Mus musculus: one gene and its partners. The protein of the gene in region 1 interacts with the protein of each later gene in a biochemical or structural test. Links are inferred from orthologs where the notes say so. Each region holds a gene or a part of one and is shown on either strand. Other genes may lie near its edges.

What was found.
Region 2: the proteins of Atm (region 1) and Mdc1 form a complex in vitro, tested with the Homo sapiens proteins (2 studies listed by BioGRID, with this or other methods). The link is inferred for Mus musculus from reciprocal best matches to the Homo sapiens genes ATM and MDC1.
Region 3: of the proteins of Atm (region 1) and Creb1, one has a biochemical effect on the other in vitro, tested with the Homo sapiens proteins (2 studies listed by BioGRID). The link is inferred for Mus musculus from reciprocal best matches to the Homo sapiens genes ATM and CREB1.
Region 4: of the proteins of Atm (region 1) and Atr, one has a biochemical effect on the other in vitro, tested with the Homo sapiens proteins (2 studies listed by BioGRID, with this or other methods). The link is inferred for Mus musculus from reciprocal best matches to the Homo sapiens genes ATM and ATR.
Region 5: of the proteins of Atm (region 1) and Chek1, one has a biochemical effect on the other in vitro, tested with the Homo sapiens proteins (2 studies listed by BioGRID, with this or other methods). The link is inferred for Mus musculus from reciprocal best matches to the Homo sapiens genes ATM and CHEK1.
Region 6: the proteins of Atm (region 1) and Smc1a form a complex in vitro, tested with the Homo sapiens proteins (2 studies listed by BioGRID and IntAct, with this or other methods). The link is inferred for Mus musculus from reciprocal best matches to the Homo sapiens genes ATM and SMC1A.
Region 7: of the proteins of Atm (region 1) and Rpa2, one has a biochemical effect on the other in vitro, tested with the Homo sapiens proteins (3 studies listed by BioGRID). The link is inferred for Mus musculus from reciprocal best matches to the Homo sapiens genes ATM and RPA2.

Annotation. Positions count from the first base shown.
Region 1 is NC_000075.6:53,526,333-53,530,503, forward strand, and holds part of Atm (serine-protein kinase ATM), read right to left. Parts: intron 1,006-4,171; coding exon 841-1,005; intron 1-840.
Region 2 is NC_000083.6:35,847,827-35,851,997, reverse strand, and holds part of Mdc1 (mediator of DNA damage checkpoint protein 1), read right to left. Parts: coding exon 3,333-4,171; intron 3,210-3,332; coding exon 3,141-3,209; intron 2,992-3,140; coding exon 2,899-2,991; intron 1,704-2,898; coding exon 993-1,703; exon of another isoform or gene 886-992; coding exon 842-885; intron 1-841. UniProt on the Homo sapiens protein: Histone reader protein required for checkpoint-mediated cell cycle arrest in response to DNA damage within both the S phase and G2/M phases of the cell cycle.
Region 3 is NC_000067.6:64,573,817-64,577,987, reverse strand, and holds part of Creb1 (cyclic AMP-responsive element-binding protein 1), read right to left. Parts: intron 3,916-4,171; coding exon 3,733-3,915; intron 2,965-3,732; exon of another isoform or gene 2,769-2,964; coding exon of another isoform or gene 2,729-2,768; intron 1,810-2,728; coding exon 1,659-1,809; intron 1-1,658.
Region 4 is NC_000075.6:95,860,216-95,864,386, reverse strand, and holds part of Atr (serine/threonine-protein kinase ATR), read right to left. Parts: intron 3,019-4,171; coding exon 2,927-3,018; intron 1,605-2,926; coding exon 1,455-1,604; intron 1-1,454. UniProt on the Homo sapiens protein: Serine/threonine protein kinase which activates checkpoint signaling upon genotoxic stresses such as ionizing radiation (IR), ultraviolet light (UV), or DNA replication stalling, thereby acting as a DNA damage sensor.
Region 5 is NC_000075.6:36,723,499-36,728,388, forward strand, and holds the start of Chek1 (serine/threonine-protein kinase Chk1), read right to left. Parts: upstream 3,161-4,890; 5' UTR 3,065-3,160; intron 2,381-3,064; 5' UTR 2,364-2,380; coding exon 2,299-2,363; intron 523-2,298; coding exon 299-522; intron 85-298; exon of another isoform or gene 1-84. UniProt on the Homo sapiens protein: Serine/threonine-protein kinase which is required for checkpoint-mediated cell cycle arrest and activation of DNA repair in response to the presence of DNA damage or unreplicated DNA.
Region 6 is NC_000086.7:152,032,965-152,037,135, reverse strand, and holds part of Smc1a (structural maintenance of chromosomes protein 1A), read right to left. Parts: intron 3,438-4,171; coding exon 3,252-3,437; intron 3,157-3,251; coding exon 2,977-3,156; intron 1,035-2,976; coding exon 888-1,034; intron 796-887; coding exon 658-795; intron 1-657. UniProt on the Homo sapiens protein: Involved in chromosome cohesion during cell cycle and in DNA repair. Central component of cohesin complex. The cohesin complex is required for the cohesion of sister chromatids after DNA replication.
Region 7 is NC_000070.6:132,766,678-132,771,569, reverse strand, and holds the start of Rpa2 (replication protein A 32 kDa subunit), read right to left. Parts: upstream 3,211-4,892; 5' UTR 3,114-3,210; coding exon 3,104-3,113; intron 2,891-3,103; coding exon 2,784-2,890; intron 1,025-2,783; coding exon 923-1,024; intron 1-922. UniProt on the Homo sapiens protein: As part of the heterotrimeric replication protein A complex (RPA/RP-A), binds and stabilizes single-stranded DNA intermediates that form during DNA replication or upon DNA stress.

The DNA of each region.
Region 1 (4,171 bases):
CCTCCTTTATTTATGGCTCAGTTAAGGTATCGCTGTTCTGTGTACACACTGTAAACAAGCCTGGAGAGAGTGAATGGCATGGTAATTTTTAGCTGACTATTTTTCTCAGTCACTGGACGGCTGAATATTTGAAAACAGAGCAGTAATCTTTGAAATCTGTAATTCCAGTTCTAGTGGTAAACACCTACTATAAACAATGTGACTTAATACTTTTTTAAAAAAAAAGATGTATTTATCTATTTAATGTATGTGAGTACACTGTAGCTGTACAGATGGTTGTGAGCCTTCATGTAGTTGTTGGGAATTAAATTTTGGATCTTTGCTCGCTTCAGTCAACCCTGCTCGCTCAGTCCCTGCTCGCTTTCGCCCAAAGATTTATTTATTATTATAAATAAGTACACTGTAGCTGTCTTCAGACACACCAGAAGAGGGCATCAGATTTCATTACGAGTGGTTGTAAGCCACCATATGGTTGCTGGGATTTGAACTCAGGACCTTTGGAAGAGCAGTAAGTGCTCTTACCCACTGAGCCATCTCACCAGCTTGTCTTAATGCTTTTCAAAGTACATAATAAATGAAAATTAAGAACTGGGCATGGTAGTCCATATTTATAATTCCAGCCTTAACAGACCAATGCAGAGGATTACAAGTTGAAGGCCAGAATGGGATATATAGCAAGATGTTACTTGAAAAGGAAGAAAATGAAGGCTCTGAAACTACAATGATATAATTTCATCAATATAATATTAAACTCTGAGTCGTCTGTGGGATATAGACTGCTTTTATTGTTGAAATTTCATCTTATAAGGGGGGGAAAAAATCACAGGCTTCAAAACATACCTAGCCACTGTTGCTGAGATACTTCACACCAGTATTTTCTCACAGAAAGAATGTCTTTGAGTAGTATGTTGCTACAGTCAGCTCCATACGTTAGACCATTAGATGAGTCTTTCACTGTATCCATGACATAATTCAAGAGGTCTTGACATTTTAGCCTGGGTGCTCCTATTTAAAAATAAAACAAAATAGTAAAAATGTATAGATCATAAAAATAAAGACTCCTTCAGAGTGCCAACTTTTTTTGTTGTTTTGTTTTTCGAGACAGGGTTTCTCTGTGTAGCCCTGGCTGTCCTGGAACTCACTTTGTAGACCAGGCTGGCCTCGAACTCAGAAATCCACCTGCCTCTGCCTCCAAAGTGCTGGGATTAAAGGCGTGCACCACCACGCCCAGCTAAGTGCCAACTTCTTTAAGTGATTCCATTCAGCAAGTTTCTCTTAACTCACTCTCATAGTTTCTCTCAACAGGGTAGCCCCTAAGTAAAATTCAACTGGTTGGCCATTTTGTTAATAAAGTTTAACTGGAACACAATCACATTTCTGCATTTAATACTGTAAATGACAAGAAATGAGTATCTGCAATGGATAATATATGACCCAGAAAGTTAAAGAAAAAGAAAACATTTGCTAGATAGCACCATTAAAGATTAAATTTACCAACCTCTAAAAATACAGCAAAAATAGATTAATTTTTATACTGAACTCACAATTTGTGGCACTGGAATTAAAAGGATTCTAAGTCACTGAGCAGCTTTATGAATAAATTTATTAAAATAATCTTGAAATATTCTATTAAGAATAGCCTAGCTACTCTAAAAAGCAAGATTATTTCCATTACATCTAAACAGAAGACAAATAGCATACATATAGAAAAGGCTGAAGTTTTAACAGCACAATAGTTTAGATTCTGAAAATTCATTGCTAATAAATGTTCTTCTAAAATGGGTATGTGCATGGGTGTTTTGCTTCCATGTATGTCTGTGCACTGCATGCATGCAGTGCCTCAGAAATCAGAAGAAGGCTCCAGATCTTTAAGGACTGAATTTATACATGGTTGAGAGCTCCCATGTGGGTGCTAAGAATCAAATCCAAGTCTTCCGGAAAGGCAGCCAGTGTAATCTCCCCCACCCCTAAATGTATATTTTTAAAGATCACAAAATTACATTTAAAAACAAAATTATGCCAGGAACAGTATTACACACCAATAATCCAAATAGTCCTTGGTTAGGGCAAGATTCTGGTTAAGGTATCATTCTTCACTATACAGTAAGTAAGTTTAAGACCATCTTGGTGGGGCTGGAGAGATGGCCCAGTGGTTAAGAGCACTGACTGCTCTTCCAGAGGTCCTGAGTCAAATCCCAGCAACCACATGGTGGCTCACAACCATCCGTAATGAGATCTGACACCCTCTTCTGGAGTGTCTGAAGACAGCTATAGTGTACACATAAATATATAAATCTTAAAAAATAAAAGTGACCATCTTGGGCCACAAGGAAACCCTATCTAAAGAAAAGGGAGGGCAGGGTTTAAGTTTACCTTTAGGGTGTGTCAGCCTGTAACTCCAGGTAAAGGCTATAGCCAAGGCTACAGAAATTAAAATGTTTATTTTGTAGTTTCCAATTTGTCTTAGTCAGGGTTTCTATTCCTGCACAAACATCATGACCAAAAAGCAAGTTGGGGAGAAAAGGGTTTTTTCAGCTTACACTTCCACACTGCTGTTCATCACCAAAGGAGGTCAGGACTGGAACTCAAGCAGATCAGGAAGCAGGAGCTGATGCAGAGGCCATGGAGGGATATTCCTTACTGGCTTGCTTTTTATAAAATCATACTGACATCGAAACTAAAAGACCATGGTTTCTTCAGTACTGACTTCATTTTGAAATTGAACTACAGGTAGGATGAAACTCAATATGCATAAGTAAAATGTGTTAGATTAGCATTTTCTTAATGATGAGACTGGCTACACTCAGGAGGGTCAGGCTATGGTAAGTACGCAATGCTATCACAGTATAAATAGCAGCTTTCACTCATGGCTTATGATTCCGGGCGTGTGACCCATGACAATGCCCACGTCTGCATGATCCTTTTCTATAGTCCTTGGCTATCTCTCCCACAGTTTCTGAAATACTTTTTTATATACAGTATTTGTTGTACTGTCAGATTTTGGAAAGGAATAATTTACCACAAATGCCCAAGACCAACAATAGACAATAAATAAAGTTAACTTCATAAATATTAAGATGAAATCTTAATTTTCTGTCTCCTTTTGCCCAGAACATTCTCTTTCTCTGCCAAACACAATTGTTTTAAAATTTATGTTTTTATTTCCTAATTCTCTCAGTCGAGATTAAAACTCAGTAGCACAGTACTGCCCAGCATGCATAAACCATGGGTTTTTGTACCTACCATTGCAAAAGAACAAACAAAAATAACATTTAAAAAAAAAAAACAAGTAAATAGACTAAATTTGACTACAAGAGGCTAGTGTTATCTCAAAATAATAAATGTAAAGAATAAATGCTGGGGTGATAGCTTAGTTGGTAAAATGCTTACCTTACAAGGATGAGGACCTACATTTGACCTGCCAGACCCTACATAAAAAAGTTGAGCATTGTGGCATGCACTTGTAATCCTAGCACAAAAAAGACAGGACTCAGGGGCTTGTTGACCAGAAAACCTGGACTATTTAGCAACCTCCAAAACACAAGCAGACCTCCCATTTACCAAAATACCCGTGTGCACCCACCACATATATGCGTGAGCACGAAAATGAATGAATGAATGAGTAAGTACAGAGCCAGCATGGGGGCACATATTTGCAATCCAGGAACTGAAGAAGATATGAGGCACCAGGATCACATATCTGAGGCCAACCTGGGCTACACTGAAAGACCCTATTTCAAAAAACAAAACTGAAACAAATATGCTGTAGGCTGTACCAACTAGATAATACTACAAGACTGATGCCACTCTTTAAGAAATAACAAACTCAAGAATATTAAAGAGAAAGTGAAATTAAAACTATGTCAATGAGCTGAAGGAATTAGGTCCATTTAATTTAGGGAAAGATCACTCAGGAATGCTATGGTTATTTTCAAATACATCAAATGATATCATGTGGAAATAAATACCAGGTTTTCTGTGTATAATTTATGCAGCTAGAGGGGTGGAGATATGGCTTACTGGTTAAGAGCATTTGATGCTCTTGCAGAGGATCTGGGTTTGGTTCCCAGCACTCACATGTAACTACCCAGTTCCAGAGGATTCTCCTGACTTCTTCAAGAACTGGAATATGTAGTGTATTTACATACATGCAGACAGAACCACTCATACA
Region 2 (4,171 bases), on another chromosome or scaffold:
CAGGAATGGAAACCAATTAATAAATGACGAACAAGAAAACTGGGAGCTGGGCATGGTGGCACACTCCTTTAATCCCAGCATTCGGGAGGCAGAGGCAAACGGATTTCTGAGTTTGAGGCCATTCTGGTCCACAAAGTGAGTTCCAGGACACCCAGGGCTATTCAGAGAAACCCTGTCTTGAAAAACAAAACAAAACAAAACAAAAAGGAAACTGGGAACATGGGATCAGGGAGACAGGTCAGTAGGCAAAGCAAACACCAAGACCTGAATTTAATCTCCAGAACCCATGTAAAAAGGACAGGTATAGTGGCTATGTTTTGAATCCCAATGCTAGAGAGGTAGAGATAGGAGAATTCCTGAAGCTTGCTGGCAAGAATCTTAGTCTACTTCAGCATATTCTAAGCCAGTTTAGGATCCTGACCACCACCACCCTTCTAAAAAGCTGGGTAGTGGGCTGGTGAGATGGCTCAGTGGGTAAGAGCACCCGACTGCTCTTCCGAAGGTCCGGAGTTCAAATCCCAGCAACCACATGGTGGCTCACAACCATCCCTAACGAGATCTGACTCTCTCTTCTGGAGTGTCTGAAGACAGCTACAGTGTACTTACATATAATAAATAAATAAATCTTTAAAAAAAAAAAAAAAAAAAAAAAAAGCTGGGTAGTCCCTGAAGAACAACACACAAGACTATCACTTGCCTTCATCATGCACTGCCCCTAAACACAAACCCTCACAAACATGCACAAATGTACATGCAGTGAGAAAATGGGAAGTATAGACAAAGAAAGATTAAAGGAAGGCTAGGCAAAGGGCTGTAGAGGAATGATAAGAAAGCAGCTCACCCTGGAAGCCTTTCCAGCAGGTGTCGTCTGGCAACTCAAGCGGCCTAGTCAAAGAATAAAACAAGACTGGCTGAGTGTTGTGCAGCCCGCAGCTCAGATACTAACTGCCATGAGGACTACATACCCCTTGGCTCCCCTGCCTCACACTTACCTCTCTGCTGCCTCCCAGGGCTCAAAGGGTCTCCCTTTCCTCCATCTGCCTGGCTCCCTGTGATTATTGGGGCTGATGCAAGTCCCTCAAGGTCCTTCACCCCAACTCCAGGCTTTAGTGTTAGACTAGCAATTTGCCCTTTCTGATCATGGCTCCCTTCCTCTGTCACCCCTCTATCTGGAGTCACTTCTAAATCAGCTGGCTCCCATTCTCTCTTTGGTTCTGGTTTCTCTACTTTTCTCTCTCTCTTCTGTGAGTCTTTGGACATCTCTATTTCTACCTCCAAACTCTCCCTATTCCCTTCAAGATCCTTGTCAGCCTCTTTTCTCTGACTGTCTCTAGCTAACACCTTCTTTGGCTCTCTGTCCTTTGTCCCCTGAATTAGTTCTTCTCCTATCACATCTCTCTCACTGTTTTCTGTTCTTCCCCTGATTTCCCTCTCCAATGGCTCTCTCTCAGGGGTCATCCTGTCTGCCATTTCCTTTGGTATACCCATGGCTTTCTCCACAGTCTGTATCTCTCTGCCTTCAATTCTCAACAGCTCTGTGTGAACTGGGCTGGTATGAACCAGATGTTGGTGTCCTGGTGGTTCCCTAGGCAGAGATGGTTGAGATCCATGAGCTTCATGAAGCTCAGAAGTCTCTGACTGTTCTCTTAGACAGAACGGCTGTGTAGCCAAGACTTCCCAAGGCACATCCAAGGTATCTGCACCTAAACAGGATGAGAGAAAGGAGATAAGTACACAGGTAAAAAAGGCACTAAGGTTGAGAACGAAGGCAGGCTCGCAGCAAACAGCTACATGGGTTACAAAAGGGAAGCTGGGAGTAGGGTGGTGGTTCTAACACTGAATGCTATTCAGGAGATTATAACCTCACGCACAGCTTCCCTCAGGAACTTCATTTGAAAAACAAGGACTGGGGATGTGGTTTAGGAAAACACTCATTTTAGGAGAATACTCATTTGGCATGCATAAAGCCCTGATTAAATCTCCAGAGAGAATGTAGAGTGTAAAAATTTTTGAGTTTTTGGGTTAACCCCAAATCTCCTGAACTAGAATCAGAGTAATCTAGGCAATCTAATTTTTACTTGTTATTTTATTTTTTAAGACTTATTCTAAAATTTTTTATTCACATGTATATGTGTATACCATGTGTGTGTGGGGTACCCAGAGAGTGATGAAATCTCCAGAAGTGCTGTTACAGATGGTTGCCAGCTGCCTGACATGGGTGCTGGACTCTGGTCCTCTAAGATGATTGCCACTCTTAACCACTGAGCCAAGCCCATTTTGTTGGATTTGTTGTTGTTGTTTGAGACAAGGTCTCATTCAGTCAAGGCCTCAAACTTTCTATGTAGTCCAGGATGGCCCTGGGCTCCTGCCTCTGCTTCCCAAGTTCTGGGATCACAAGTGTGTGTGTCACCATGTCTGGTATAGGTTCTTTTCTTGAATAACAAAAGAATATGAAAAGTGCGTCTGCGGATACAGCTCAGTGGTTAGAGAGCTCATCGAGCAAGCATATGAAGTCCTCGTCCATCCCTAGCTGGGTGGCACACACCTGTAATCCCAGCCCTTGGAGAACCAGCAGTTCAAGGTCATCCTCAGCTACAGGAACTCTTTGTCAACAAACAAACAAGAATATGAGGGGCTGAAGAGAGAGCACTGGTGGCTCTAGCAGTCCTGAGAACCCACATGGCAGCTTACAACTCCAGTTCCAGGGAATAAGACCTCTTCTGACCACTGTGGGCACCAGGCATGCACATGGTGAACATATATATATATATATATACATGCAAGCAAAACACTCATACATGTAACATAGGTAAATCTAACAGACAGTATATGAAAGGATGCAGAGGAAGAAAACAAGAAAGCAGGCAAAGTTGGGAATTCAGAGAGACTTCCTTGTACCTGGAGTCTGAAGGCTGAGATGGGAAGGTCCTGGCTCTTGTGGAAGAGTACATGGGAAGAGTTGGGTAGGCTCATTTTCCAAACTCTGGACAGCTGCCGAAGAAAAGGTGGGTAGAACACAGCTGGTCCCAGAACGCCAGGGTCTCATACCCTACTTGGCCACATCGCCTTTCAAGGCCCATCAGTGTAATCATCACCCAGCTCTTCCTGGTGCTCCCATCCACACCACACAATGTCCTCACCTTCTGGGTGCTGGCTCTCCCCTTCCACAAAGCACTGGGTAGCTGGAAGGCACAGATCTTCAGGTTCTGCTGGGAAGAGATGTGAGACAGATGAAAAATCAACTCTCATCCTAAAGACCTCTACAGTTCTCTCCTAATCCTTATACCCAATTTATTTTAAGGGCCAAAGGCAGAGCAGAGGGCAACACTTACCATCACAGCACTCTTTGGCACTCTTGGTCCTGCCCACATGTGCTTCTCTCTCCCTTCCTGTGGGGGTTTGGGCTCCCTCTCTCTGTGGCAGGGTGGGATCCCCTGAAGTATCTGTATGTATCACCACTTGCTCCACTGGTGCTGCAGGTGACCCGCTTTGGGACCTCACCTCAAGAGTACTTTCCTGCTCAGAAACAGCTGTAGCACACTCTGTCCCAGCATCTTCTGCTACTGGCTGCTGGCTAGGCCTTACAGAGGCTGCTGCCTCTGGTGAGGATGAGCCTTCCTGAACAGCTGTTTCCCAGGCTTCCTCAGGAGGCTGGGCTCCCTCTAGAGGCACCTGGTGCTTCTCCCCCAGGATAACAGATGGCCCTGGGACTTCCTCCTCCACTTGTGCTCTGGTCTTGCCTACCACAGCAAAGGAGGCCTGATTTACCACTAGATGGCTGCCAGGGGAGCTCATATCCATGTACTCATCTGCATCATTGGGCCTACGGGGAGGCTGGCTCTCTGGCTGTGTGACAGTAAGAGCCTCATCTACATCCATGGGACTGTCTGGGATAATCTCTCTCTTTCGCCCTGAGGATTCCTCCTCCACATCCGTGTCACTGTCTCTCCCAGAGGCACTCTGGCTTTGTTCTACAAGGACCTGTGGTTGGGACTTGACCTCTTCTGCGCCTGGGTCTCTACTCCACAAACCAATTCCTCTCTCTTTCAGATGGGCCAAAGTGAGTGCTGCTGAGACCTCCTCCTCCTCCTCCTCCTCCTCCTCATCTGTATCACTGTTGATCACCATGGGTGTGTGGTTTCTCTCTAGAGGGACATCCAGTGCAGTCTTG
Region 3 (4,171 bases), on another chromosome or scaffold:
TAAAGGTCACAGGGCTTCTTTTCAAGATTCCCTTACTATCTCAGAATGGGTTTCTCCTTTTTCATAGCTAGATATAATTTACTAAGACTGTGACAGTTAAGACTATTTCAGGAACAATGATGCTGACCTACCAAAAATAAAATTGTTGGAAGAGAAGGAGCAGTAGAGATGCCATGTGCTGTCTTACCTGACCCTGAGAGCCAAGCTTTGGGTGCAAGGAGAGATCTTATTTTACTCAAAGGTAGAAACCCAAGTTTAGGAAATTAATGTATTCTTCCAGAGTCATAGCTAAAGGGTGAATGCAGGAATTGAAGTTAGATCTGCTAAGTTCAATTTCTGTCTCATTTACTTTATCATAGTTCTTACACTCTTGGGGTAAAAAGAAGAATTTAAATAGTTTACATCTCTATACACCTTGATTCTCTTTTAGTTTTCACCTCCCTCCCCCATTATAGCCCCTTGATGTTTACTCACATGTTTTATGTGTGTGCAGGCTATCTTCCCTAATGTTGCTTTTTCGCTTACTCTTGAGTCATGGTTTCTTCAACCCAGAGCTTACAGACAAGCTTACCCTGAAAACCCCACCTGTGCCATCAGAGGAATTACAGGGCCCTACCAAGAATTTTATATGGGTTCTGGGGATCTGAACTCCAGTGTTCTTGCTTGGATGGTGAACACATTAACCAACGATGGCCTCCTCAGACCATTTGTTTTGTTTTGTTTTGATCATTTCCACATTAATAACTTCCTTTTTTTTAAGATGGCAAAAACATTTGAAAGCAAATAAATTTCTAAGAAAGGCTTTACCTGTGTTTTATAGCTTCTCTTCTGTACCACTTTAACTTCTTAAGACTAACATTAACTGTGCATTAAGGCTTTGTCGGGAATACCATACTTTTTAGAATTTCTCTGTTTTAAAAGTGTTTGGATGTTAAGTTATTACTGAGTAAAGAAAGCCCCTGCCCCTAAGGCCAGGCCCAAGGTTGTGATTCCAGCACTCACTCCCAGAGGCGGGAGGATAAGAGCTCCAGGCAACTTTGGCCCACACAGCAAGACTCTGACCCCAAACAAAGAACAAGGCAGGTGGCTGACCAACCCCTCTCACTCTAGTTCCAAGAGATCTAATGCATTCTTCTGCCCTTTGTGGTATGAATGTGGTACATATACATACATGTAGGCATTGACACATATGCATAAAACATGCATAAATAAATCTGTAAGTGTATAAAAATGCAAAAGAAAGTATTCATTAAAACAAAAATGGCTACTGTATACTTGTTATAAATAAATTTAATGCAAATAAACTAGAGTCTAATGTTAGTATACATATGTGACACTTTGATGAATATTACTTACAAATTTTTTTAATTAACATATCCTATTAGCTAGAATAAAGTACAAATTCATTAAAGCTATGTATTTCTCTTGTGGAAAAACTATGAAGAAAAATTACTTTTTTGATTGAAGACTGACCTAAAGTTCCATTAGCCATCTTATAAATGCAACTTAATAAACAAAGAAGCTTTAGCAAGATCCACTAATTCTACCAGAAAAAGAAAATCAATGCACAGAACCTACTGTTAGCAGATGTAAAGGCACACACAGAAGAGTTTATAGACATACTTGACCCATAGCATTTAAGTGTTTGGAATCTGTACCTGTTCTTCATTAGACGGACCTCTCTCTTCCGTGCTGCTTCTTCAGCAGGCTGTGTAGGAAGTGCTGGGGAGGACGCCATAACAACTCCAGGGGCAATGGTGCTCGTGGGTGCTGTGCGGATCTGGTATGTTTGTACATCGCCTGAGGCAGCTGCAGAGAAGAGCGAACAAGGTATAAGACACAGAAACACTACAATTTAATTCAACTGTGTCTCAATCAATCTAAACATACTTAGATTAAAAGGGAAACAGGGAATGGGACTCTATCTAAGAAGAAGACTCCAATTGTCTGTCCTATTTATTAGTACAGGTACGGGGCAGGGTGCCTCAGCGTCCCTGCGGGTCTTATTCATGTTGTGCTGGGAGGGAGATGCAGTCTGTGGTTTGCATGCTTGTCAGCTTTAAGTCTAAAGGAGCTGAGCAGAGATGTCCTCCCACACAGGCCTCAGTATCTTCCCTTGCTTTACATAAATTCACATTTAAAACAAAACCCAAAAAACTCAAGTAGACTCTTGCCACGACATAAAAACGACCATGATTTTTCATAAAATAGCAAAATAGAAGAAAAAAAATAAGCATATAGAAACTGTTATAAATTTCTAATTCAAACAAAACTCCAAGTATGAAAAACTGGACATTTGCTGCCAATCATGGTATATGTAAACATATCTTAATATAAGTGACTAAAACTAAGTAAGTAAAAGCTGAATTGTTTTCATTTCAGTTTTCTAAGACAGGGACTTACTATGTAGCCCTGGCTGTCTAGAACTCATTATGTAGACCAGGCTGGCTTAGAATTCAAGAGATCCACCTGCCTCTGCCTCTGCCTCCCAAGTGCTGGAATTAAAGGCGTGTAGTTTGGGTTTTCCTCACCATACAATCTCCATATGTGAAAAAAAAAATCACTATTTGTCCATTATTTGCTTCTAGAAACAGTGTCATGATATGCTTTCATAAGTACCCTAATACTATGTGAGAGATTTTGAATGTCTTTATAAAATCATTCATATCAGTTAAAAACACCGATTGTATCGTTTGAGGGACAAAGATTTATATACTAAACATGTTACCATATTCAAACTGACGTTGAGAATTCAAATTCACTGACATCCTGCTTTACAATTTTTTGAGTACCTGCATGTAAAGTGAAAAGGTGTTTTACTCCCACTAATAAGCAAAATATTTTTTAAATATCATTGGTCTAATAACAAGATATATAGTATAAATTTATTAGACATTGTTAAACAAAAGATGTTCTACTTGGTGTTGTGGTATGATCCAAAAGTAATTATCCATGGTGAAGGGATATAACTCTCATTAACACAGGCAACATTAGTTATTATTAATAAAATATTTTTAGAAGCAAATATTATTTTTTTAATCTATAAATTTTTAATCTGGTAATATTGAACTATGAACTGCTCAGTGAATTAATGCTGAATAGTTAACACTCTCCAGACTCTTGAAATTTTGGGAAACAAAACAAAACAAAACAAAACAAAATCCTCTCGTCCACCGAGGCTAAAGGACAACTTGTTCTCCAATGAGCAAGGATCTGCATAATGATGCTTGTTCTTATCCAAAATCCAAATTGATGACTTCAGAAAAGCTCTATATTCCTTTTAAATTAAAAATAATAAAAACAAGACAAAACAGATAAAACAGCAGAATCCACTAGAACTCTTTAATAGTGACATAGCACACAGAGGAGGGAAAGAAAGGGGCCCAGGGGAGCTAGTGTTACTTGAGGCCATTCAGCCTGGCTATAACTTCCTCAGTTCTCTTCTAACATATTTTGGTTCTTCCAATCCTGACTACTGAAGGCATTAAAGACAGGAAAAACCCCTTTTAAGCTAAAAGATAGTTGTTTTTATGCCATGACATTTTCATCTGAGTGGAAAGTTGCATGAGAGATATTTATGTATTAAATACATGCATATCTAAACTGTTAATATCTAAATCTATACTGAAGAAAACTATTTTAGTAGTGCTTTGTAATATACTTACTTTTCATGAGTATACACATTAATTTTTAAAAGAATGTACCATATGTATGAATTCTTAATTCTATTACCTTGAACAACAACTTGGTTGCTGGGCACTAGAATCTGCTGTCCATCAGTGGTCTGTGCATACTGTAGAATGGTAGTACCCGGCTGAGTGGCAGCTGCATTGGTCATGGTTAATGTCTGCAGGCCCTGTACCCCATCCGTACCATTGTTAGCCAGCTGTATTGCTCCTCCCTGGGTAATGGCAACTAAAACCCAATGAATTTTATTGTTACAAGTTTAATTCATACCACACAAGACTTTTAAAATACACTAAACCCATGCAATTAGCAAAGCATAATCTAGGAGAAATTATTCTAGAAAATAATATCACCAAGAAAAACTTGGTATATTCAAGTAACCGTGTACCCAGGAAACCATATCCAATTTCTATGAGAGAAATATACTCTATGAATTGTACTATAATAAATAATGCATGGTAACAATATAAAAAGTGAAAACACA
Region 4 (4,171 bases), about 42 Mb from region 1:
AATCCCCTATCCATATAGACATGTCATTCATTCGTTCATTTATTCTTTTAAGACAGAGTCTCTCTACATAGCTCTGGCTATCCTGGAATTCATTATGTAGACTGGGCTTGCTTTGAACTCACAGTGTTCTGCCTGACTCTGCCTCCCAAGTGCCGGGATTAAAGGTGTGTGCCACCATGCCCAGCTCAGTTTGTTTGAAATGTTACTAGCTTTAAAGTTAGTTCATAACCCACTGTGAGTTGTTGTCCATACTTTAGAAAATATAACAGAAACTGAAAATGTGATTATAGTATAATTTAAGAACTTATGACAGAAGAAATACAGAACATCAATAATAAGAACATATAATTCAGCAGCAAAAAAAAGAAAACAAGTCCTAGGTGGCCAGGATGAGTCAGAAAACTTTTTTTTAAAGAATTATTTATTTTATGTATATGGGTACATTATAGCTGTCGTCAGACACACCAGAAGAGAGCATTGAATCCCATTACAGATGGTTGTGAGCCACCACGTGGTTGCTAGGAATTGAATTCAGGACCTCTGGAAGAGCAGTTAGTGCTCTTAACCACTAAGGCATCTCTCCATCCCCCAGAAAACACTTTTTGAAGGCTATATTATCAAAGCAGATACTATTAACAAATTTTAAAATATTTCATTATATAGGAAAAAGTTTGTTCTGCATCCTTTTATGAGAGAATCAGAAAGTGAGGAGCAGGCAGATTAATGGGGTAGTAACAATACAGTAAAAGTCTAGAAAAATGCTTTAACATACAGAAAGCAAATTTTTCTTAGAAGGCAATGTAGTTAAGTTTTGTTTTGTTTGGTTTTGGTTTTTTTTTTTTTTTTTTAAGATTTATTTATTATTATATGTAAGTACACTATAGCTGTCTTCAGACACACCAGAAGAGGGAGTCAGATCTTGTTAGGGATGTGGTTTTGGTTTTTAAAGAAAGTGTTTCCTCTGTGTAGCCCTGGCTGACTTGGAACTTGCTCTGTAGAACAGGTGGCCTCCAACTCAAAGATCCTCCTGCCTCTACTACTGAGCACTGGGATTAAATGCATGCATGACTACACCTGGTATAAGTATTTTTGAGTAGAATGTCTAAAAAAAAAAAAAAAAACCTTTGTAGTAATTTGAGATGATGTTCTAGTAAAACTGTCAAAATGAAAAAAAAAAAAGTAGCTGAAGCTGGGCATGCTGGCATATGTCTAATCCCAGCACTCAGGAGGCAGGCCAATCTCTGAGTTCCAGGCTAGCCTAGTCTACAAATGCATTCTATGCCAGCCAAAGGTACATACGAGACCCTGCCTCAAAAACAAAACTGCTACCACTTTTCCCCAAAAGCAAATATGACTTGTGGGAGCATGTAATTATATAAATGTGATATTCAGAAAAGCAGCAAAGGAGATCTAATAAAACTGGTTAAGGATTAACATAAAATAACAGCACTTACCAATACAACTGTCTTTGGCCTCATTTTGGCCCTGGCTTCCATTCACATTTACAAACATAAGCGGAGAAGACTTCATGATGTGCTGGATAAAATCAAGTAACATCACAGAGGTCGGCTGAGCGTCAGTTTTCTTTACAAGTTCTAGAGCAACTAAGAGATAAAAGATTCTTTTTAAAAACTCATGACAAAATATAGAGCTTTTGTTAAGAAACTAAATTTTGGTAATCAAAACTTTGTCCAGTGGAGTACTCATGCTACACTGATACATGAAGAAGTCCTATTATCTAGTATGTGTATGTGTATGGTATATGTCTATGTACATGTTCGTGTGTGTGTGTGTGTGTGTGTGTGTGTGATGAATGTGACAGTCAGAGGTCAATGTTGGGTGTCTGCTTCAATCATTCTCTACCTTATTTTTTGAGACAAGAGATCTCACTGAACCTACACTTCACCAACTTAGCTAGACTGGCTGGACCAGGTTTTTTTTTTTTTCTTTGTATAGCCCTGGCTGTCCTAGAACTCACTTTGTAGACCAGGCTGGCCTCGAACTCAGAAATCTGCCTGCCTCTGCCTCCCAAGTGCTGGGATTAAAGGCGTGGGCCACCATGCCCTGCTGACTGGCTGGACCAGGAAGCTCCACAGATCTACTGTGAGAATTGCAGCAATCACAGGTGTGCATTGCTGCAGCTGCTTTTTAAGATTGTGGTGGGAATTTAAAGGCAGCAAGATTAATGTCTGAGTCATCTTTCCAGCCTACCACTTAATTTTCAATGTCTAATAACCATATACATTCATCTATAATATAGCCCATTCTGCAAACATTTGTTATATAGGCCTGTAAGATGACAGGCACCATGCTTAAGATAAAACAAAACAAAAACAATAATCTGGTGAAGGAGTCAAAGAATTAAAAATAGTAGTTTGACTTGGTAATTCAGGATAAAATGAAACAATTCTGGAAAGATCCCATGAAGGAGTTCCTATGGCTGAGGGAAAAGGCAAGTGGTGAGAACAGAGGGAGACCCAGAGGGAACCATATCTTACAAGTGTTCATAGCCCTTTGCTCTCATTTTAGCAACCTATGACTTTGTAGACTGAAAAGAACAAAGTTTAAGTGGTTATAATAAATCACAAAATGTGTTGGTACCAAATTTCACTTTTTTTTTTTTTTTTTTTTGCAAGTTGTTGATAAAGCCCATATGATTGGACCCAGTCAAATGTTTTATAACTAATGCATTAAAGAATTCTAGGAAGCCAGTAGAAAAATCATGGAATAATAGAAACACACCCTTGATTTTAAAGCCTAAATTACATTATGTTTTAAGTAATAAGCAATACTGAGTAACAATTTGCTGGAAATTACTATCTATAACAAAAACTAACTCTGACTAAAACTGCCTAGAGGAAAAACAGGTAGTACAATGTTACACGGAAAACCATTGAAGTTCATGGAAGAAATAATTCCCTCTTACCAACATTTACATCTGTAAGTATTCTGTCAATGAACTGGCAGAGAATCTGTCTTGGTTTCTGTACAACAGTGTTATATTCTTCTGGAGTAGCACTGAAATACAAAGTAAAGCTTGTTAAAAGAGGCACTATGGGAGCAAGCAAGATGGCTTAGCAGGTAAAGGCAGGCTGCCAAGCCTGGCCTTAGTTCCATCCCCGGATGGATATAGTGGGAGGGGAGAAGTAACTCCCATGAGTCATCCTCCACATGGACTGTGATGTGTGTGACCCTCCCTCCCAATAAATAAATTAATGTAAAAATGTTTTATTAGAGGTATGGTGGCACATACCTATAATTGGAAGCTGAGGCAGAAGGCCAGTGATTCTAGGCCAGCATAAGCTATTTAGAGAGATTCTGTCTCTACAAACTAATCCAGCAAAGAGCATTTCATCTTTAAAAGGACCTACTTTTCAATTTGTACAAAAGCTCTCTAAACTTGAACCTAACAAATATGATTGGTTTAAATGTTAACATAGACAGTATTATACTTCTTAAAAGTGAAAATCTAAAGATATTACTAATTTGGGGCGGGGAAAGTCTTAAATGCCAGTGCAGACAGCTAACCTTCATATTTTAGAAATGTGCAGCTCAAAATGGCAGCCATTAGCCACATATGACTATTTAATACTTGAAAAGAAGGTTATTCCAAATTAAGATGTATATAAGATACATATTGGATTACTCATACTTGGACAAAAGAATTAATGTTGCATTAATCGTCTTATATGAGTTACATATGAGTGTGATAATATTTGGATATAATGAGCTAACACAAACCCTATAAAACAAGGTAAGATACTAAGCCTAATTTGGATCTGAGGATGCTCTGGAAGTTAAATCACTGGAGATCACACAGCTCAGATTAATGGAAGCCTGGGATATAAATGCAATTGTGATTAATAAGACCAGAGAGATACCTAGGCTAGCTAGAAGAGCCGTAAGGAGACACAGAAAAACTGAGGTTTATTCTAAATGCCACAAAGGTTGGAATTTCACAAAAGGAACACTGGCTAGGATCAGATCAATTTTAGAAAACATCTTTTGATTTTATTTTGATAAAATATAAATTACATAATGTTTACTATTTCATTATTTTAAAGTGTATATACTTCTATAGAATTAAGTTCAGCACATTACTACCACTCATGTAAAGAACTTTTTAACCTTCCCAAGCAGCAACTCTACACCTAATAAGCAATAATTTACC
Region 5 (4,890 bases), about 17 Mb from region 1:
TTAAAAATGCAGCTAAGAGAGTTGGGTGGTGGTGGTGCACACTTTAATCCCAGCACTCAGGAAGCAAAGGCAGGTGGATTTCTGAGTTCAAGGTCAGCCTGGTCTACAGAGTGAGTACCAGGACAGCCAGGGTTACAGAGAGGAACCTTTTCTCTAAAAACCAAAGAAACAGCTGAGAACATGGTTGAGTAGTAGACCAGTTGAAGGGCCTGTGGAAAGATGGTGGGTTTAATGTCCAGCAGCACACACAACGTATGAAGGTGTTCAGTAAAATATTTATCTTAAATCTTTTCCATACCAATTCTATCAAAAAGTTCTCCTCCACTACAGTACTCCAGAAACAGATACTGGATATGGCCTTCCCTCCTGTGGCCATAGAATTTCACTACATTCTCGTGGCTTAACATTTTATTGATGCAGATCTCTTTCTTAATATTTTCTGGACAGTCTATGGCCCGCTTCATGTCTACAATTTTCACTGCAACAGCTTCTTCAGTTATTCTATTCACAGCAAGTTGAACTCTTAAAAAGAAAGAGAGAAAAAGTTACAACATTTTCACCTCAGAATTCCCTTTCTCCTAACTCTTCAAAAGATTACTGATACACACCTGTAATTCCAGCATTCTAGAGACAAAAGGGTCCAAGTTCAAACACAGCCTAGACTACAAAGAAACTTTCAAAGAAAAAAAACAAAAAAAGCAAAACCCTAGCAGCGGGTGGAGGTGTCTCTGAGAAGCAGAGGCAAGCAGAGCTCTTGGAGTTTGGTGCCAATGAGATATTTATTCTCTCTACAAACAAAACTGAGGGGTGGGGATACCTGAGGGGGGGCCTGGAGAGAAGGCTCAGCATGTAAGAGCACTTGCTTCAGACCTCAGCCGTTTCCAGCACCCACATGGTAGCTCACAATCATTTGTAATTTCCAGTTCTGGGGGAATCCCACACTTCTGGCCCTCTGTGGGCAAACACTCATCCATATTTTAAAAATGCATAAATCTTAAGAAAAAAAGCTTCAAAAAGTTAGATGTAACACACCCCAAACTATTCTTCCTTTCTTCATCAAGGAAAATGAAATGGCCTCTGCTATGTTCTCAGACGCATTGAGACAAATGTGAAGCATTGCCATTAATGCTCCAAGAAAGTCTTGGAAACTTGGAAACCTTGTGCTTGCAAGTTATCTAATAACTGACCATGCTTTGAAAGACAATAGCAAGTCTACAATACATCACATATACACATGATCTAGTAATACAACAGCATTACTTTACACTTATTAATCTCATGCATATATGCCTGAGCCAACTACTGAACACATCTTTAAGGTAAGAACCATTAATTCTATCATCAGATGAAGAAACAAAGGCACATAAAGCTTGCTCAAGAACACAAATACAGCCAGGCGTGGTGGCACATGCCTTTAATCCCAGCACTCGGGAGACAGAGGCAGGCGGATTTCTGAGTTCGAGGCCAGCCTGGTCTACAAAGTGAGCTCCAGGACAGCCAGGGCTATACAGAGAAACCCTGTCTCAAAAAACCAAAAAAAAAAAAAAAAGAACACAAATACAACCAGGATCAGCTGAGTGTGGAGATCTGAAATTAGGCAGGATGCCGCCAGGGTCTTTTCATTATCTCATTTAAAATTCTAAGACACATGATTTGTTAGGAAAACAATTCTTTTATAAAAGAAAATTTTATAAAAGTAAAATTAAAAAAAAAAAAGAAAGAAAAGAAATTGGACCGTCAAGCACAGGCTTGTCATACCTACCTGGGAGGCTACAGTGTACAAGTTCAAGGCCAACCTAGGCAATTTAACAAGATTTTGATCTGAACAAAAACAAATGTAAGAAGAAATTTGGTGTTTTACAGGCCTAGAAATGTAGCTCATGGCAGAGCATAAGCCCAGCATGAGTGATGCACTAGGTTCAATGTCTACCATCACAAAAGAGGAGGAACAGGTGTGGATGTGCTTCACTCACTCAGAGCCTTGATGTACAAATGCGAATATCCATGCTCTTTGCCACTTGAAATAAAGGACTTTTTTTAAAGTGTGTACTCAGACAACAGGTGGAAAACTAAAGCAAACAAACAGGTAATATTTAAATTAGGAAGACCATGGTAATGGCCAGGCAGGTTAAGCCTCTTGCTGTCAGGCCTAATGATCCCTCCAAACCTTCAACAGAACCAGCTCCTGCAAGTTGTCTTCTGACCTCCACAGGTGCACGCACCATAGCACGACAGACAGACAGACAGACAGACAGACACACACTGCAATAAAAAATTAAAATGAGGACTCAAACTTACTCTCCATAGGCACCTTCTCCCAAAGTTTGCACCAAATCCCAGTCTTCCACAAAAGGCACTGCCATGACTCCAAGCACAGCGACTGTAAAATGCAGGATCCCAGAAAATACTGGGGATGAGTGTAAACTCTCATCACCTGTAATGCCACTGAGCCATGTCTCCTGCTATGATTCCGCACGACTTTCTTTTCATCTTACATCTGAACCATATTTACCCACGTCATAATACTGAACTTGAACATTTTGTCCTGTTTATCACAAATCCTGTTTCCACGTTTGTCCTCCGTCCGCCTTTATGCAAAACTGAGCACTTGCTTGGCTCCAGGGTTGCAAGACAAGAGCTTTCGGGTGAATGATCCGGAAAGGGAGTTGCGGGCAGGTCAGGGTGCGGGGGTGGGGAGCAGCTGGGTGTAACTACGGTAATTACTGCCAGAGCAGCCCCTCCTCCCACCCGCTCACTTCCAATTCCCACCCCAACGGCACGTGTCCCCAGCACCGGGAGGGAACAGGGCGGGGCCAAGCCGCGGAGAGAAGCGGGAGGCAGGGACCCCTAGAGCCGGGAAAGCATGCGAACCCCGGAGCCTTACAATCGCTCTGGTCCCTTTATGCTGGAGAGCCACGGGCCACCCGCTCCAGCCCGGGCTCCGGGCGGCCCTCCCACCTCTCTGCTAGTCTGGACCACTCCCTCCCCGCGCCCGTCCACACTAAACAAGCCCTCTGGGTCCTTTGCTGGAGTTCTTTCCCACTGTTCAGGACGCCCTTCTCACCAAGCAGTCCTTTGCCAGCTGCCACAGGAATCCAAATGCACAGCTTTTCCCGCCAAAACCTGCTTGCGTCATGCTGTCGCAAAAGCGCACACCTCTGCCGTAAAGCGGGCCGGCGCGCGTTGTCCTATCCCAGGCTCTGCAGAGGAGCGACTTCAGTAGACCGACCGCGCAAGGACCCTTCCTTCTAATACTGGCTGAAATTCTGATGTGGCCGTAGTTAAGACACAAGCTGACCAGATTTGGTATTGACGACTGCTTTGGTGAGAACTGATCTCTGAGTCCGAATGAAATGGAAATGGCACGGGGCGTGTGCCACGCCTTACGTTGCTCCACAGAGGCACCGAAGCCTCCATCCAGACTGCGCCACCAGTTGGGCCAAGAACCCAGGTTCCCTGCCACTCAGAGCCTGCAAAGGCTGCACCGTTAAGTACGTAAACCGACCTGCTCTTGACCTCGGAGCCCCAGGGAGGAAGGCTCAAACTAAGCGACACAGAGTGCTCTGTAAACTCAATTGTGCCCCCCTTAGTATTCGAATTGAGAAGCTAGCAACTGCTGCTGGAATTCTGAAAAAAAAAAAAAAAAAAAACGAAGGAAAGCAAGTGTGGTGGTGCATGCTTGTAGACCTAGAACTTGGGAAGCGTAAGCAAGAAGATCTTGAGTTCAAGGCAATCCGAGTTATACAGGGTTAGTCTTACCAAAAAAAAAAAAAAAAAAACGAAGGGGAAAAAAAACCACATCGCCGCGGATGTGTGAGGGGAAAGTGCAGTGAGAGTCACCAATATTGCCTGAACAGGAGGCTCCAGAACCAGTTAAATCTTTTTTTTTTTTTTGGGGGGGGGGGGACACACGACTATTTGCCTGTACTAGCTTTCTTAAACAAGCACGGTGGCCCACCACACTATAGAGATAAAGCAGGAGATACCCAACCAAGATGCTCGCTTTCAAGAAAAAACAAACAGCAAAGTAGACTTAATGGTGACTCATCTATAACCTCAGTCTAGGGAGGTTGAGCCAGGGAAAGTGATTCAGGTTGGTCAGCCTGAGCCAAGGGTGTGTGAGTGTGTGTGATCTTATCTAAAAAAAAAAAAGGAGGTGGGTTGGGGAGCACAATCAATATTCCTTAACTAGGCTAGACTTATGGCATAATGGTAGAATGCCTGCCAAGCATACAAAAGTCTCATAATAGAGAAATGTCAATTCTAAGAAAAGGGACTTGGATACAAAAAATAAGGAAACAATGAAACCATGTGCTGGCTAGTCAAGTGCATTGCCTCTGAGCTACATCTCCAACTCCATGAAATCTAACCTGGAAATGTTTAAACTTAAACCATGTTATCAGTTTAGGGTTCGTGTAATTAAAAACAAGCTATTAGATTATTTCCATTTCTTTGTGATTTCCTGTGTATATTCTGAAATCTACAAGAGGTTGATTTAGTCTTTTTTTTTTTTTTTTTTTTTTGGTTTTTTGAGACAGGGTTTCTCTGTGTAGCCCTGGCTGTCCTGGAACTCACTCTGTAGACCGGCTGGCCTCGAACTCAGAAATTCACCTGCCTCTGCCTCCCAAGTGCTCTTAAATGGAATCTAGGTTCCTCTAGTCTTAAATGGAATCAATGTCTTATTTCCTGGAAAAGACACAGTATCAGAGTTCTGACTTGGAGAAGAGTGTGTATATGTGTGTGTGTGTGTGTGTGTGTGTGTGTGTGTGTTTATGTGTTTGTGTGTACACCTATACCAACAACAGGGAGGTGAATGTAGGAAGACCAGTTCAGGTTCACATTGGTTATATAGAAAGCTCAAAGATAACCTGGAATAAATTAAATACTGTC
Region 6 (4,171 bases), on another chromosome or scaffold:
ATCCCTTATTGATAACCCCTGGGCCAAATAAGTTTTAGAAGTTGGACTGTTTTTCACAAGAAGGTAAGTCTAGGTATTATGTAACAATTCTAGTTTGAGTAAGCTGTAACAGTACACAACCTACAGACAGTGAAATGCCTGTAGATCATTGTGTGTGTGTGTGTGTGTGTGTGTTTTCCCTTGAGATGTGATCCCACTATACAGCTCAGGGCGGCCTTGAATGCTCCAATCTTCTCTCCAATGTCCTGGGACCACAGGTATAGGCCACTACACTGGCCCTGTTGTTCACTCTCAATTGACTTTTAGAAGTCCCAATATTTAGTGACTGAATGTGCTAATAACAGTCCCTAACATTTATTTAATGTCAACTGTTCTAAGAACTTTATAGGTATTAATTCATTCGATCTTTGCAATAGCCACACAAAATAGACAATACTTTCCATTTGTTAGATCAAGAAGATAAAACTGACAATAAGAAGTAAGTTGTTTAATGGAATAAACACAGGGGACAGAAGATCTAGACACCTCCACCCCGTCCCAGTGCCTGACTATACTCTGCTATGCTATCCTGAACGAAATGGAAGAAAAGTGGATAATTCCCCAGTCCCAGTGAAACCTAGGATGATATGGGAGGCCAGGCTGAAGGCCAGCCCCTACCTGGAGATTCAGGGCAAGATGCCTTGTCTTAGTCTGTTCTAGGTCACTCTGTGAGTACTTCAGCCGCATTTGAAGCCCGTGGGCCTGAGACTGCACTTGACGCAGTTCTGCCTCTTTCCGTTTTGCCTTCATCTGCTCCTAAAGAAGAAAAGAAAAAAGGACCATGTGCTAAGTGGCCAACCTGAGCTCAGGAACCCTACTCCTAAGGGTCAGGGTTACTTGTGCCTTACTTTCAGCTCCTCTGTCAAACGTTCTTTTTTTTCTTTCAGTTTGTCTACTGCTTTCTCATCCCAGCGCCGTGCTTTTGCCTTGAGATCACTGGCTCCACCAGAGATAACTCCTGACTTCTGGAACAGGGTGCCATCCAACGCCACTGTCTATACGCATCAGGGAGAGAAGAGAAGAAGGTGAACATAGGAATCTCCAATACTGAGTGTACTGGCTAGTTTTGTGTCAACTTGACACAGCTGGAGTTATCACAGAGAAAGGAGCTTCAGTTGAGGAAATGTCTCCATGAGATCCAACTGTAAGGCATTTTCTCAATTAGTGATCAAGGGGGAAAGGCCCCTTGTGGGTGGGACCATCTCTGGGCTGGTAGTCTTGGGTTCTATAAGAGAGCAGGTGAAGCAAGCCAGTAAAGAGCATCCCTCCATGGCCTCTGCATCAGCTCCTGCTCTCTGACCTGCTTGAGTTCCAGTCCTGACTTCCTTGGTGATGAACAGCAGTATGGAAGTGTAAGCCGAATAAACCCTTTCCTCCCCAACTTGCTTCTTGGTCATGATGTTTGTGCAGGAATAGAAACCCTGACTAAGACAAATTGGTACCAGCAGAGTGGGGTATTCCTGTGACAACCTGGCCATGTTTTGGGGAGGACTGTGGAAGGACTTTGGAACTTTGGGCTTGAAGATCCATTCATTGTTAAGAGCCCTGTCGGATGTTGTGTAGGAGCTTGGAAGATAATGTTGAGAACACTGCAGAAGATGGAGGTCTGGTTTGTGAAATTTCAGAGGGAAAATTAAAGACTCTTTTCAGGGCCATTGCTGTTTTGATTGTGAAGATTCTGTAGTTCTGGTTAGCTGGGGCTAAAGAATCAGCTGTGATTAACAAGATACCGGAACTACTAAAGCAAAAACTTTGCATTACTGGGACTATTGATGCTGGTTAGCTGGAGCTAAGAAATTAGCGGTGATTAAGAAGAGACCAGCATCATTGAGGTGACATCTTCTGGGAAGTGTTTTCTGAAAGCACAAAGAGGCTGTGTTCCAGAGATGGCCAAGGTTGTACTCCTGCTGCAGCGGGACTTGGTAATATGTAAGGGTCACCCAGGTGGTACTGGTTTTGAAGGCATGAAGGGGTCACGCAGAACAGCTGAGGCTCGGCACTGTGAGAGGCCATGGAAGGCCATTGGTGAAGGTGCAGCCTCAGTTGCAATTGAAGGCCCAGGACTGAAGGGGTCATGCAGTGTTTTGGAGATGCCAGTACCATGAGATGACCACCAAGAGCAGCAGCATCAGTGGAGTACAGTCATCTGGAGCCTAGAGGATGACGCGTGTGCTACAAAGGGCATGGCTGGAGAAGTGACCCAAGCCCTTGGAGGAGCCCAGAAGATCGTGAGTTGGATCCCAGACATTGGACAGTTAGAGATTGATTTTTGCTTTTGATTGTGACTGTGCCCTGATAGTTTCCCTCTTGAAGGAAGAAACAGTTTTAGTGGAGCGCACAGTTAAGACACTTTTAATTGTAAAAAAACTTTGGATTTTAAAGAGATTGAAAATTTAAGAATATGTAAAGACTGTGGGACTTTTAAAGTTATTTATAATGGGGATGAATAAGAATGTAAGGGTTGAGGCTTACTAGTGATGTGTTTGTGTGTCAAGTTGACAAGGGGTCAATTGTACTGGCTAGTTTTGTGTCAACTTGACACAGCTGGAGTTATCACAGAGAAAGGAGCTTCAGTTGAGGAAATGTCTCCATGAGATCCAACTGTAAGGCATTTTCTCAATTAGCGATCAAGGGGGAAAGGCCCCTTGTGGGTGGGACCATCCCTGGGCTGGTAGTCTTGGGTTCTATAAGAGAGCAGGTGAAGCAAACCAGTAAAGAGCACCCTCCATGGCTCTGCATCAGCTCCTGCTTCCTGACCTGCTTGAGTTCCAGTCCTGACTTCCTTGGTGATGAACAGCAGTATGGAAGTGTAAGCCGAATAAACCCTTTCCTCCCCAACTTGCTTCTTGGTCATGATGTTTGTGCAGGAATAGAAACCCTGACTAAGACACTGAGCCTGTCCAACTCCAACCTGAGAAAGGGGGGGAGGGTGCATACCTTGTGGCGTTGGTGACCTCCAAAGGCAATGCGTCGAGCATCCTCCACATTATCACAAACAAGGGCATTGCCACAAGCATACTGCAGAGCTTTTTTAATGTGAGGTGGTTCATAACGAATTACATCAATCACTAGCTTGGCCCCCTTCAGCTCCCGGAGTTTCTCATCAGTAGGTTTCACCTGTGTGAAGAATCTTATGAAGCAACAGAATACATAAAGCCAAGGTGAGGGGCCCATAACACTGCCTTGACCCCAAACCCCTTCACAAGCCTTACCTCCAGGTAGTCAAGAGGCAAGAAGGTCTCAGGCTCTCCACGTTGCTCCTTGATATACTGAATACAGTCCCGACCTGTCTTCTCTGAGTCTACAATAATAGCATCCATGTTCTTCCCTAAAACCTTGGTCACAGCAATCTGATACTTCTTTTGTGTAGGCTGGCAGAGGTCAATGAGGCGGCCATACTGAATATAAAGGAAGAAGGGAAACTGAAGCACAAGGCTTAGGAATCCCAATTACTAGCTTACAAAGAAGGGCAAGATAAAAATCTGTATAAGCTACCATGAATACACTCATTGCTGCTTGTTGGTGCAGTCAGTCCTCTACTTTTGTACTATATGATACCACTAAGATAGGAAGGGGAACAGCCCGAGGGGAGGGACTTGTTAGACTTGTATGGCTACAAGCAATTTAGACTAGTACAGCAGTCAATTCTAATGCTCCTTCCAAAGATAGAAGTTTGGCTAAGAGGAAGATTAAGGACTGAATAAACATGTTAAAAGATGGAAGACCCAATTAGCACCTCAGAACCGAGTAAGAAATCACATTGCCTCTATGTTCACTTATATCAGAAGCTTAAAAAGTGAAGCTATATGTTTCCTAAGACAGACTATTGCTTTTGGAATCAGACAAGATTAACTAAAAAGCCACAAGACTTAACAGCCTCCCCCAGAAAACATTCTTGAATACGATACACTAATTTTTCTGTTTTTGAAACATGGTCTCATTATTTAGCTGGGACTAACCTAGATCTCCCTGGTTACCCCAGGTTGACTTCAAACTCATGATATTCCTGCCTGTGCCTTCCAACTGCTGATATTAAAGGCATGCACCAAAGAACCTAGCTTTAGAATGGTAACTCATTAACTTATAGCTAAATGAGATTATAGAAACACACCAGTATCTTCTGACTTACAGT
Region 7 (4,892 bases), on another chromosome or scaffold:
ACAAGTAACAGAGGCTCCAAGGGAGAATACCTTCATATTCTTTTTTAAAATTACTTTTTGTTTGTTGGTTTATTTGGAGATACGGTTTCACTGTGCAGGCCGGGCTGTCCTGGAACTATAATAGATCAGGCTGGCCTTGAACTCAGAGGTCCACTTGCCTCTGCCTCGCATTGGTGGGGTTAAAGGTGTCAGCCACCACTGCCCAGCTTTAAAAAGTACTTTCCACCGGGCGGTGGTGGCGCACACCTTTGATCCCAGCACTTGGGAGGCAGAGGCAGGCGGATTTCTGAGTTCAAGGCCAGCCTGGTCTACAGAGTGAGTTCCAGGACAGCCAGGGCTATACAGAGAAACCCTGTCTCGAAAAATAAATAAATAAACAAACAAACAAACAAAAAATACTTTCCACAAAAATATTGTTATTTTACCATTGTGTGTATGTGTGCCATGGCCCAGGGGTCAGAGGCTATTTTAGGGAGCTGGTTCTTTTTCTAATGTAGAATATGGAGGCTGAACTCAGGTAATCAGACTTGTGCTAAAGGCCCAAGCACTTTCACCCACAGAGCACGTCACTTGCTACATACTTTTCGATTAAGCAAGTCTTACTCCTTTTTCTTTGCATATGCGTGAAGGGTATGCACAAATGAGCAGACAGATGAGCAATGCCCTTGCTGGAGGACATTGGCTGTCCAGGTCTAGCACTATTGCTTTTATTCCCTTGAGACAGAGTCTCTCACTGAACCTGGAGCCAGCAAGGCCCTAGGACCCTCCCGTCTCTGAGCTTCGTAGTTACAGGACCCAGGGGAAGCGAGCCTGGCCTTGTACATGCATACGGATCTGATACTGGGCCTCACGCTTGCGCAGACATCTTCCCACCCCTCATATTTCCTATCTCTAAACGGTTCTTCCACAAAATCTTACAGACCTGTGAAATCTCGACATCTCCAATTCTGAACACTTCATCAGTCAGAGTAGCAGAAAGCAGCTGGGATATGGTACAGGGCACAATATGCTGGGCTCGGACTCTCTGAAAAGAAAAAGTACGCACAGTCAACCCAAGAGAGTAACAATCACTCATTTAATATTTCCATGTGCCAAGCACTTGAATATACCACACTCCTGGAATTGCAAAACCAAGTTCTCCTTACTTTAAAAAGAGACAGAAAACAGGGCCAGAAAGTTAACATTTGTTTCATCTTCCTCTCCCTCCTAAGTGCTAGGATTCAGAGTGTGTGCTACTATACACGGCGAATGCCACACTTTTGAATTCAAGCCCACAGGGATCTGATGCTAGACCTCCAGGTGAATATATGTTTGTATCCTATTGTGGGTTCACAAAGAAAAGGTCAGACTAGAGTCAGGACAACATAGGATAGCCTGTCTTTAGAACGCATCCCAGGTGGGGGCTGGTGAGATGGCTCAGTGGGTAAGAGCACCCGACTGCTCTTCCGAAGGTCCGGAGTTCAAATCCCAGCAACCACATGGTGGCTCACAACCATCTGTAACAAGATCTGATGCCCTCTTCTGGAGTGTCTGAAGACAGCTGCAGTGAACTTACATATAATAAATAAATAAATCTTAAAAAAAAAAAAAAAAAAAAAAAAAAAAGAACGCATCCCAGGGCTAGGCAGTGGTGGCAAATGGTTTTAATCTCAGCACCCAGGAGGCAGAGGCAGGTGGACTTCTTGAGTTCAAGGCCAGCCTGGTCTATAGAGTGAGTTCCAGGACAGCCAAGGATACACACACACACACACACACACACACACACACACACACAGACACCCAAAACAAAACAACAACAAGAAAACAACTGTCTCAGAGAGGTAGGGGTAGAAAGAGCACATCCCAGACATAGCAAGAGCAGTGTTCAGGACACCACGGAGACAACAGGGCCTTGTGAAAAGGCTTGAGAAATGACAAGCAGAAAAAGGACTACGAAGATGCTCTAGGTTTCTTGATAAAATGGAAGAAGTTAGAAGTATAGCTTCTTTTAGGAGATATTCTGGCAACCAGATGGCAGTCTCTGCAGAAAACCTGGTGAGTTTCGTCAAGCTGCTCATCTTTGGGCATCTTAACAGGAGAGTCAGATGGAGTGGGCAGAGGAGCATCTAGCAAAGACACTTGCCTCTCAAGCCACCTACGAGCAATGTAGTTTGTTTGTTTTTTAAGAAAGGATCTTTTTGGGCTGGAGAGATGGCTCAGCGGTTAAGAGCACTGACTGCTCTTCCAGAGGTCCTGAGTTCAATTCCCAGCAACCATACGGTGGCTCACAACCATCTGTAGTGGTATCTGATGCCCTCTTCTGGTGTGTCTGAAGACAACTACAGTGTACAGGCAGGTGGATCTCTGAGTTCCAGGCCAGCCAGAGCTACAAACACCTCCAAAACACTTGGTCATACAATGAATATGTACGAGGCAGAAAAAGCCCAGCAGATTAAGGCTTAGCGTGTCCTTCCTGTCAGTTACCAACAGGAAACAACCCCAAACCTGTTCTGAACACAGTGGACTCTTGTTCTTCAGGGATTTTTGTGCCCTGGGGACAGCGATATTAAACTCTACTAAAGCATACTTTCGAGTGGTAGGGCCAGGAAAATGGAGGCCGGGCGAACCACTGCAGGCTTGCCAAACAATAAAATAATAAAAACCCTGTTCCCCACTTGACCATACAAAAGACAAGGTAGGTAACGGACAGCTTCTGACACCTTGGGGTGTGCCACCCTCCCGCACGAAAACACGTTCCCTCCTGGCCAGGACACAAATGAGAACGGAGCCGTCAGTCTACGTACCGATTTCTTCTCCGCCTGCGACGGTGTGGGCGACCCGAAGCCACCGGGGGACTGCGTGTAGCCGCCTGCTCCGCCATAGGTGGAGCTGCTGAAGCTTTCGAATCCGCCTGCGGGGAACGACCGTCGTCAGAGTCTGCGCTGCGCTCCCCATCTCTATACCTGGCGACCGCTGTCCCCACCGCCCCAGCCGCGACAATCCCCCTGCCACCCCGCGAACGCCGCCGAGCCCGCCTCGGGCCTCTCGCTCCGTCCCGGCCTTCCTGCGCCAGACTCGCCCACTCCCAACACCCTCGCGTGACTCTCCCCACGCCCGCCATTACTATTCCACATCCTGGTCGCAGTTCTCCGGAGAGAGCGGCCCAAGACGCTCGGACACGAAAACTAAGAACACTTGGGAACTCTGTGCCGCTCTGGCGTGGCAGCCTTCTGGCTACTTTGCACTGGCGCCACAAACTCCTTCCCGCGAAGGGACAGCCAATCAGCGCCCTGGACACATTTACCTTCAGCCAATCAGAACTCATGAGTCCCCTCCTTTTTTTTTCGGTATCAAGGCCAAGCTTAGGAAAAACACCCGGCCCCAAGAAGGAATGGAAGCATGCGCGGCCATCTTTACTGAGGGCAAATTTCCGATAGGACAGTATTCAAGAAAACAACCAATCAAAACGATACTTCCGGGGCCATCCTCAAGCATTCTTCACACACACCCCATCTCCGTCGCATGCAACCCTACATCACTTCCGCCGCTCGCTAGCCCCCTTTTCCCGCCAAACTGCTAGTTTTCTGCTCTTCCAGAACTCCCGAGTTCAATTCCCAGCAACCACATGGTGGATCACAACCATCTATAATGGGATCTGCTGTCCTCTTCTGGTGTGTCTGAAGATAGTGATATTGTATTCATAAATAAATACCTGCGTGATGGTGGAAGGAGAGGCTCAACTGTTAATCCCACTGAAGATGAGTAGAAATGATTAAACAATTTTTGGTCAAATTAAGCAAGCTTAATTTTGTCAGAGATGGCTATCTCGCTAAACTGGGGTTTTGAGAAAACAGCATCGCCGGGCAGTGGTGGCACAGACCTTTAATCCCAGCATTTAGGAGGCAGAGGCAGGAGGATTTCTGAGTTCGAGGCCAGCCTGGTCTACAGAGTGAGTTCCAGGACAGCCAAGGCTACACAGAGAAACCCTGTCTCGAAAAAACAAAACAAATACAAAATGAGAAAACAGCATCGAACACAAGAGGTGAGGTTTATATAACCCCCAAAACTGCAAGAATATGGACATTTTCAAGGGTTATGTAGGCACTTGGTCGAACATTTCAGCATTATTTGGCAGAACGTCTATCAGACTGAAATCAGGGTATAGGGTGTGGAACCTGTCGAAATTCAGAAAGTTGGTCAAGACCTGGTCAAATTAAGTTTTATAGAAAAGAGGAATGGACTTATTTTGGTAGTATGATAAGATGGCTTCAGAACTTAAGGTGGAGTCAGGCTGCTCCATCACAACTCCTACAAGTTGTCCTCTACACACACACACACAAGCACACACTCCAGCACACATGTTCATACGCACACACAGGCTTGTATCCAGGGCATAGATAACATGTTCATGTTTTCAAAGAAAGAAACCCTACCTGGGGGAGGGGTTGGCACACGCCTTTAACCCCAACACTTGGGAGGTGGAGGCAGGTGGATCTCTGTGAATTTGAGGCCAGCTTGGTCTACAGTGTGAGTTCTAGGACAGTCAAGGCTGCACAGGGAAACCCTGTCTTGAAGAAAAAAAAAAGAAAACAAACAAAAGAAACCTCATGGCCATACATGGCCACAGTTAAAAAGATCCAAAGATGTCCTGCTGTCTTGCCCCCAGTTTTGTCTCCCTCTCAGTCTCCCGTGATTTCAACCAGTCATTATATGAGTCATACACCTTCGTCTAAAAGCTGATCGAGCACTAGAGCATGTGTTTAGTTTTCTAGAAAGTATGTGGGTACGTGCACATGAGTTTAGGTGCCTCCAAAGCCAGAGGAGGTCTTGGGGGGTCCCTAAATGTGTTATAGGCAGCTGTCCCTTGGCCGTGTCCGTGTCCATTCTGTAATGCTAACTCAGGTGATCAGCAA